Linked DNA regions of Tribolium castaneum. The protein of the gene in region 1 interacts with the protein of each later gene in a biochemical or structural test. Links are inferred from orthologs where the notes say so. Each region holds a gene or a part of one and is shown on either strand. Other genes may lie near its edges. The genes, in order: Dop2R and frequenin-2.

The links.
Region 2: the proteins of Dop2R (region 1) and frequenin-2 form a complex in vitro, tested with the Homo sapiens proteins (2 studies listed by BioGRID, with this or other methods). The link is inferred for Tribolium castaneum from reciprocal best matches to the Homo sapiens genes DRD2 and NCS1.

Annotation. Positions count from the first base shown.
Region 1 is NC_087402.1:3,954,592-3,958,996, reverse strand, and holds the start of Dop2R (dopamine D2-like receptor), read left to right. Parts: upstream 1-1,543; coding exon 1,544-1,957; intron 1,958-4,405. UniProt on the Homo sapiens protein: Dopamine receptor whose activity is mediated by G proteins which inhibit adenylyl cyclase. Positively regulates postnatal regression of retinal hyaloid vessels via suppression of VEGFR2/KDR activity, downstream of OPN5.
Region 2 is NC_087394.1:35,444,658-35,448,941, reverse strand, and holds the start of frequenin-2, read right to left. Parts: upstream 2,978-4,284; 5' UTR 2,864-2,977; coding exon 2,800-2,863; intron 1-2,799. UniProt on the Homo sapiens protein: Neuronal calcium sensor, regulator of G protein-coupled receptor phosphorylation in a calcium dependent manner. Directly regulates GRK1 (RHOK), but not GRK2 to GRK5. Can substitute for calmodulin. Stimulates PI4KB kinase activity.

The DNA.
Region 1 (4,405 bases):
AAAAAGGCACCGCATTGGTTTGAGTTATCGAAATCACAAAATTCATAGATAAAGAGCATAAAGTCATTTTTTAAAATCAAAGTTTGAACACTAGCTGTTCAGAAATGTAAACGCCATTGGTGAATTCTGTTAAGTATTAAGTAACAACTCTATTTACATAGCGTATAAAAGCTTAGTTTGTGAAAAAAGTTAAAAACAAACGCAAAATTCAATTGTCAAAATAAAATATCGTACAAAAATTTTAATAGTTATTTATTCGACGAGTTTGAGTGTAAATCGGACGTTTTATTTCACGAGTGGTTTTTTAAACCTCGAGTGATAACGAGAGGTTTACCATCCACGAGGTGAAATAAATGAACCGATTTACACGAAAACGAGTTGAATACAACATTTTATTCTTCGAATTAGACTCAACAAGGCTTAAAATTGCTTAAAATCTGTTAAAAATAATCTGACGTTTCGTATTGAGAAATGCCAAACAGTTGTCAAAACTGTCTTACACAGGAGAAAAATCCAAAATTCTGACAGTGTCGAAGAATAAATACTTTTTATGCTGAAAAATAGTTGTTTAGTTGACTTTGGAATTTTAATGCACTGTGCCGCTTTGTCTAAATGGTTATTTTAATTTCCGTAAACTTCCCACATTTTACTACATTATTCCAAGAAATAAGGTTTCTTTTAGTTTACGTTTTATATTTTTGTACTAGCGGTTGTTCGGTATTCCTGTCGTTTAAATAAAATTAAAACAATTTTCCTTAATCATGCAAAAATGAGAAAAAAGCTTTATTATTAATCAAATTTTTATTTAATCGAGGTTTCAATATGCAGAGGAATAAGCCTTTAATAATCAGTCTGCATTAAAATTTACGCGGACGAAATCGCGGATGAGTGCAAGTTTTGTTAAAAATGGTGGATGCGCCGGGTTAGTTATAATTTAATTGTGTTAAAAAATCTTGTTTCTTGGGCTGGATTAAAAGTTTGTTGGTCATGTTTATTTACATTTCACATGTTTTTTATTGGAAAATTATTGTTTTTGCTTAATTTTTTTATATTGAAGGAGATATTTCTGCCTTTTTGCTTGATTTATCTCAATCTTGTGAAATTGTGTAGAAACCGAATGCGTGTCGCCTGTTCGAATGAGGTTTTGGTATGATTTGTGGCACTTTTAATCCGGCGGAGTAGTCGTGAATGTCTCGTTAGATTTCAACAAGTACGTCAATGCTGAGCCTTCGGTGCGTGTATCGGGACGCCTCTGCCGGAGACAGCGGGAGACAGGGCGGCGCCGTGCGCGTCGCTCTCCACCGTCGGCGTCCCGGCGCATAGCGCCTCTGTTTGTGCCCCGGAGTGCACGCGACTGTGTCCAGCATCGCGCGAGTCGGCTTCAAAGGTGCAACCGTCATGTAAACCAGTGCACGCAACCATGTTTCGTCTCAGCATCGCGAGGTAATTAAAATCCGGGATCATGCGGCCCGTCCACGCATAGCGTGCCACCCCGGAGTTGCGGGCCACCGGAAGAAGTTGCTTGTGTTATCCCGCCGTGAACATGATCCCTGAAAAAATGGACGCGAACGCTTCCATCGCCAACGCCACCCGGAACTCGTCCGACCCGGGCCTGGACCACTTCATGCTCCTCTTCGAAGACATCGACCAGTTTTTCAGCCATCTCAACTTGTCCAACGACTCGGATTACGCCACTTTCGAGCGCCTGTTCAACTGCAGCTCCAACAGCAGCAACAGCTCGTGCTTTGGGCACCCGGAGGCCCCCGGCAGCCGGAACTACTGGGCCTTGGTCCTGGTGCTCTTCCCCATCTTCACCCTCTTCGGCAACGTGCTTGTGATTTTGAGTGTTTACAGGGAGCGAACTCTGCAGTCGGCCACTAACTACTTCATTGTTAGTCTGGCTCTGGCCGATCTCCTGGTGGCCGTCGTCGTCATGCCGTTCGCCGTCTACGTGCTGGTGAGTTCAATTACGGTTATTTTTATCACCCACACCCTCGGTCCAGTGGTTATCGAGCCGAACACAAATCGGAAGGGTGGGTAATAAACATGACAAAGGGTCATCACCATCAGATCAATGTAGGCACTTTACGACCTGGATACGGGGGCGCTTCTTCTCGATGCACTTCAACCCTTCACTGTCGCGTGACAAAGATACATAAATTCACCCTCTTTTACAACGACTTTACGAAATATGAGCGTAATTAGCACGTTCAATCGCCTGTCGCGTGCCCTCTAAAATCGATCCGCAGCTTTACACTGGATTCACTTTGATTAATAGCAGACACTAATATCGATTCATAAAGAAAAACACTAAATCACAAATAAGAACTCGGACGAAAATACACAATTCTATCGCTTAAACGTCAATATTTGCATTGAAATGGCTTAGATATAATTTCGTTCAAGAGGGTGCATCTGACAGATCTACAAACTCAATTTCAGGCCGACAGATTTTGCGAATTATTCGCGCGGGATTTACATTTAACTCTTCATATTTTTCGACGGATGCAACCGGTTATACCAAAGAAATCGGCCCTATTTATCGCACCTTCTGACATCACAAAGGAATTAAAGAAGATTTTTACTGTGTATTTTGTTATAAATAATTTTTGGTGCAATTTGCTACGCTTTGAAATCATGCAGGTTTTACGGCAACTTGATCCAGGGCTGTGCCATGCAATGACACAATCAGCATCTCTCTAAGGGGCGACATAATTGAACCATTTAGCCATAAAAGCTATTGATAATTTTATATGCGGTGTTTTTTTAAATATTTTATTTTAAATACAGTTTCCTTTCGAAATTATTGCAGTCTGTGACTATAACTGTCTCAGATTGTGTAATTTTTGTAACAACAAAAAGCTGAGATTACGGAGAATTTTGGATAGAGTAGAGAAACTGAAACTAGAGTCAAAAGGAAAATGCGAGCGAACAGGCTCTTGGTGAAACCTTAAAAGTGGAGAATAAATTAAAATAAACTTTTTCATTTAGATTTTAATGATTTTTTTGGAAGTCGATGGCAAAATTTTCAGTTCTTATGTAAAAAAACTCAAAGATAGTACGGGATGTGTCCACGTATACCATATTGTGTGAAACCTTTGGATGTTTTAAATTATTTTAACAACTTAATTACGCTATATTCGAATATTGTTGTGGCTCTGAAAATTTTATTATCACACCAAGTGAAAAGAAATACAAATCGATGACGGACGGGACACAAAAAATTTACATTTTTATTGCTGAACAATCGTTATAAATTTCTGTTAATTTAAAAAGCACTAATTTCAACAATTATTTTCGAAGTAAGAGGTGGAACTTTTGAAACTTTTGAAACCACGAAACCGAACAACAAGGCAATGTGTAACGAATTCTTGTTAATTTACTTTTTGTTTTCACATGACGGACGGGACAATAATCTTGTGTATGAAAATAACATTAAAAAATGTATTCAGTGTAAATTAAAAATTATTGGTATCGCTACACGTCAGAAATACGAGCAATGACGGACGGGACAAGGTAAATTGTGTGCAGTTTTTAAGGGTAGCTTTCTGGACGACTCTGTCTTTGCCTTTATTATGGGGCAAAAATAATTTTTATTTCAGGTAATTTTAGGGTCACTGTGTAAAGAATCAGGAAATGGTGACCAAAATAGAAATGAACTTTTAGCGAGAAGCGGTATTATTTTTATTGTGGGCTTTGGAGCATTTAAATGACTCCATAAAGTGTCGGCTTCGGCCCGATTGGGTTTTCACCTTTTCTGATAAATTTTATGGCTGGGTTTGGGCGTTGCAGTCTGGCCGCGGTCCAGATTGGTTCGAGTGTTCCGTCGTCGTATTATGTTTTATTGCGTCACCTTTACGTTAATTTCTTTCGATCGCTGAATCCGGTCGAGCGGATTTTCCTTTTGTAGTATTGTGTAGCAATCGGTGCTTTTCCATCGGAAAATATTGCCTTCGGTTGATTAGTCGCGAGAAAATTGTTTTTGCGCATTTTAATCGAAATTGCGAATGGGAAAATTTAATTATACCGATGTAAAACTATTATGCGAGCTCGACAGCGCGCGGCACTCAACAGCTCGTAAATGTGGTGATGTGGCGGCGCTTTCCAGTGTCAAATTTTTCCTTGCACCGGGGTTTGGATTACAATTAAAGTCGTCATTAGGTGGAGTGCGGCTTTTATTTTCAATTTGGGTTTAGTGGCGTTAAAAGCGCGCTTTACGGCCGACGGGCTGTATTCTTGCATCGAATAAATGGGTGATAAAGTCGGTAACAAGTGTAGATGAAATATCAGAAGATTTTTGGAGCGCGATTACAGGAGCAATTAAATTTAAAATCGTCGCAGGATTGAAGTTTATAGCAATTGGAAAAGCTGCAAAGATATCTTAATCCGGTTTGGGGCCGAGCGC
Region 2 (4,284 bases), on another chromosome or scaffold:
GGGCATATTTGCACATCGGTCTCAATCTGCCACCAGCATGCGATTGTACAAAGTTCATCCTTCAACTGACGTGATACCAAGGATGGGCTGCTCAGGATATAAGCATACATCAACCCATCAACCCCCCACGTGCAACATGCAACCGATTTTAATCGCCCGAAACACTTTTACACCCCAACACGTAATGCGCTCTTGTTCAGTGTAACTGATTTACTCACCCACTTCTATTTTTGACCAGCAAAACGTAGATTTTATGTTCATCGGCCCGAAATTAGCAGAAAAATCTCTAAACTTATTTTTATTGCACAGTAGCTGGATTGTTGTCATAAAATGATTACTCCACAAGTGTCATAACAATAAGTGCCAAATTACAGTCATTAGGTCTCCGTCGCCAGTATTAGTTATTTATGCAACAAGTACGGAAATGAAATCATTTATCCTACGAGTAAAATGGATTTCTCCTTCCACATATTTCCCAATTTATCACATAATTCGTGGCGTAAATTCACTTTACGTGTTCCACACTGTATTTAAAATTATAATTTGATGCTAAAAGCAAACTATAGGATAGTGGAGCCCTTGTACAGGGTGCAGCATTTTGAATATCCGAATAAGGGATTTCTGAAACAATTGACACATTCTCGGTTCCACTTTTTGAGAAAATAATTTTGGTCAAAATCGCATTCCGCTATCGTCTTTTCGACTTATAAACAAAAATTGATATTTTAGCAAAATCTTAAAAAATTCATATCTTCTTAATTATAAAAGATACACATTTGAAACAAAAACATTATAAAGCACTTTTTTACAGAAAATGTTATAATGTTATCAGCGTTTTTTTAACCATTTGTTTAACTGTACTAACATAAAGTTTTATTTTTTTTTTAATAGGAATCATAGGTGGCTGTGATATGTTTGAAAAGCTTATTTTTTCTGATTTGATATGTCTATTTGTGTAATATCTTTTTTTAAATATTAAAAAAACATAACATTTCGTTTTTTTATATAGTAGGCCATGAAAAAATTAAAAAAAATCCTAATTAAACTACTTTCAAATATTTTAAATATATTTTTTATCAAAGGTATATAAAAATATCAAACTGTATTTATATTGTGTTCAGTTCAGAAAAAAATAAGCTTTTCGAAAATGTCACCGCCAACTATGATTCCTATTTAAAAAAATACAACTTTGTGTTATTACAGTTAAACAAATGATTAAAAAAAACTGCAAATAACACTAATAAATTTTTTGTAAAAAATGCTTTATAATATTTTTGTTTCAAATGTGTATCTTTTATAATAAGGAAGATATGAATTTTTTAAGATTTCGCTAAAATGTCAACTTTTGTTTATAAGTCGAAAACAAAAAACGATAGCGGGATGCGGTTTTGCCCAAAAGTATTTTCTCAAAAAACGGACCCGAGAATGTGTCACTCTTTTTTCTCTAAACCTCTTAGTTTGGAAGATCTCCTATCCGCATATTCAAAATTCTGCACCCTATACACACACAAAAAATGTCAAGAAGGACTATGTTTATTTGCGGTTGGATTAAAACACATGCATCCAACTGAGGGAACATTGAATCGTTGATGTAAACGGAGCGGTGATTTTATTACAAAAGTTCCACAATTTAAATTTTTAAAGATTTTTTTGTTAGAATAGAAGACTTTTAAATTCCAACAACAAATAAAAGCTCTAAAAGTCAACATGCCTCCGTGCAAAAGTTTCCGCACAAACTAGGAAAATGGTAATGCGAAAAATGTCGAATTTTATTACCTCCAATATTAAGGAAATGTTATTTTTAGAGATTTTTATTTCGAGGCGTCGAGCGTAACCAGACAGGTTATAAAAGTTGAAGGTTTTATATTTATTTAAAAAAATATTTATTGCACGAAAACCAATTGGAGACACTTGTTGATCAATAATACGTTATTGATAAATAATAAAATAACTAGGACAGTTCGGGACGGAACGGAAATTAGTTTTGAGATGTATTACGGAATGATAAATAATAATCATAAATAAAAAGCCATTTCGCTTTTCACGATGGCTGTTTACGTCGAAGACGCGAAATTAGCTCCAGAAATAAATTATTGATGCTTTAAATAAGGGTGTTGTTTGAACTGATTGCCTACAAATTAGTGAAAACATTAACAGAGAAAACAAACCACAGAAAATACAACGACCAGCTAATTAGAGAATAGGTGTAACGTTTAGCAGGTACTTAGTCCCGTAATAATTGCGGGAGCATTAATTATTAAGAGCAAAAAAAAGGTGTAGGGATTTGGATGTTAGTGGCCAAGTAACTGTTGAATTTGGAGAAACGTAAGGAAATTGCGCACATGTTTTCCAATCACTTGCACTCGGGCGTTATTTGCCTTCAGGGTGTAGATATTTGCCCGCCTATGTAAATTTAAAAGCTGTATCATTTATTTCTAGCTCTCGTAATATCCACGTCCAAACGCATTACGCACTGTTTGTTCTCTTAAATGGTGTTGATAGAGCAAACAAGGTCTAAACGTTCAACAATCTATTTAAGAAGAAAAATATACGCAGCGGACTTTCTCTTTTGCGACAAAAAAATGAGTTAGTCTTGTCATACCATCCTCAGGAAAATTGAGTTAAGATGAATTACAGCCGAGCTGTTTGAAGCAATTTAACCCGAAACACTGTTACATAAGTTGTGTTAACACAAACTGTGTTGTATTTTTTTAATAAAAGGAAAGTAAGTGCCTCAAGCTGGTGACACATTTTGTAAACAAGTTGAAAACAAACATAAAGTTGCACAAGAAAACTCACAGTATGTGGCGGTGGTGAGTCTGTCGATTGTGTCTTGCTTTAGCTTGGAATTTTTTTTACCCATGTTGGAGTGTTTCGTTTCCAACTTACAAGAACAACGTACGAATTTCTACCGATCGCACAATACTAAAGGGTAACACTCAAACTCCTACTGTACAGGGTAGATAGAAGTTACGCTTGCGCCTTTACCCTACGAAGTTCACTGTCGCACATCCTGCAGTTAACTTAACGAATGTCGCCGTATGGGAATGAGGTTTGGTAGCTCACGACCAAATTATCGTAAGTAATAACGCCCATTTACACGAGAAACGCAAAAAAGGGCGATTCCAATTGGATAACTTTGAATTACGTCCAGACGATACTTCCTTTAACAGAAATTAATTTTATGATAAATATTTGGTAAGTTAATGACACAATCTGATCCGAGTACCTATATTTAAAAGCAAACTTGGAAAAGTACGACAACCGAAGCACAAAGACTTTTATCAGCAGCAGCAACGTGTTTCTGCATTGTATACTTTAAGGCTTTGTATTTTGGTGGAAAAATTTACAGTGATTAATTTCTTCAAGTCTACGCTTGAGATTATTTAGTAGGTGTAGCCCGGCGCATCCACCATTTTTGCGCCGAGGTTACAATTAATCTTACCAGGCATTTTTCTTGTGTCCTGTTTTATAAATAAGTAATACATTTCAAAAAAAGTAAATAAATGTCTCTACAAGGCAACCAAAAAGTTTGGAAGGTCAAACTGTCTTGTCTTTTCATAAAAATTGATTAAGAAAATGGTCAGATTTTATAATTAAATTTTGATTTTTTTCAGCAAATATCTAACTGTAAAATTAGCTTCTAAAAAAGATTTTGATGTATATGCAGTGCAGCATATAATATAAAAACTGAAATTAAAAAAATAGCACAAGGACATATCACTGGCTATTAATTAGTCCAATTAAATAGAAAACCTTATTCACATCAATTAAACAAAATTATGAAAACAGTTTTTTAAAACATTAAAATAATGCCAGACTTTAATTTCTTGCGCTGAAATTTGTTTTAGAAATTTTTTTTTTTTTGGTGGAGCCCGGCGCATCCACCATTTTTGCACCTTGTATTGTAAATAATTATTTTAAACTCTCGAAACTAAACATATAATTAAAGGATCACTAACCAACATTAGTAGACTATAAGACAATCTTTAATTTCCTAGACTTAAATCTTAAACTACTATGAGTCGGATTGAGGAAAGAAATAACATTTTTGGAAAACGTAATCGTTTTAGACATTTTGTTTTAAATACGATAACAATTTTTATATAAATGTATTTATTGATTTAATGTAAAAAAATGTAAAAATAAAAATAGCTCCTGTATCCAGTAAAAATAGAAATAAAAAAGAAAGTTTTATCTACAACCAAATGTTTAAAAAGTCAAGATAAGTCGTTATCATTGTGAAATTTAAAGTGTGGAAATGCTGTGTGGAATTGCGCTTTG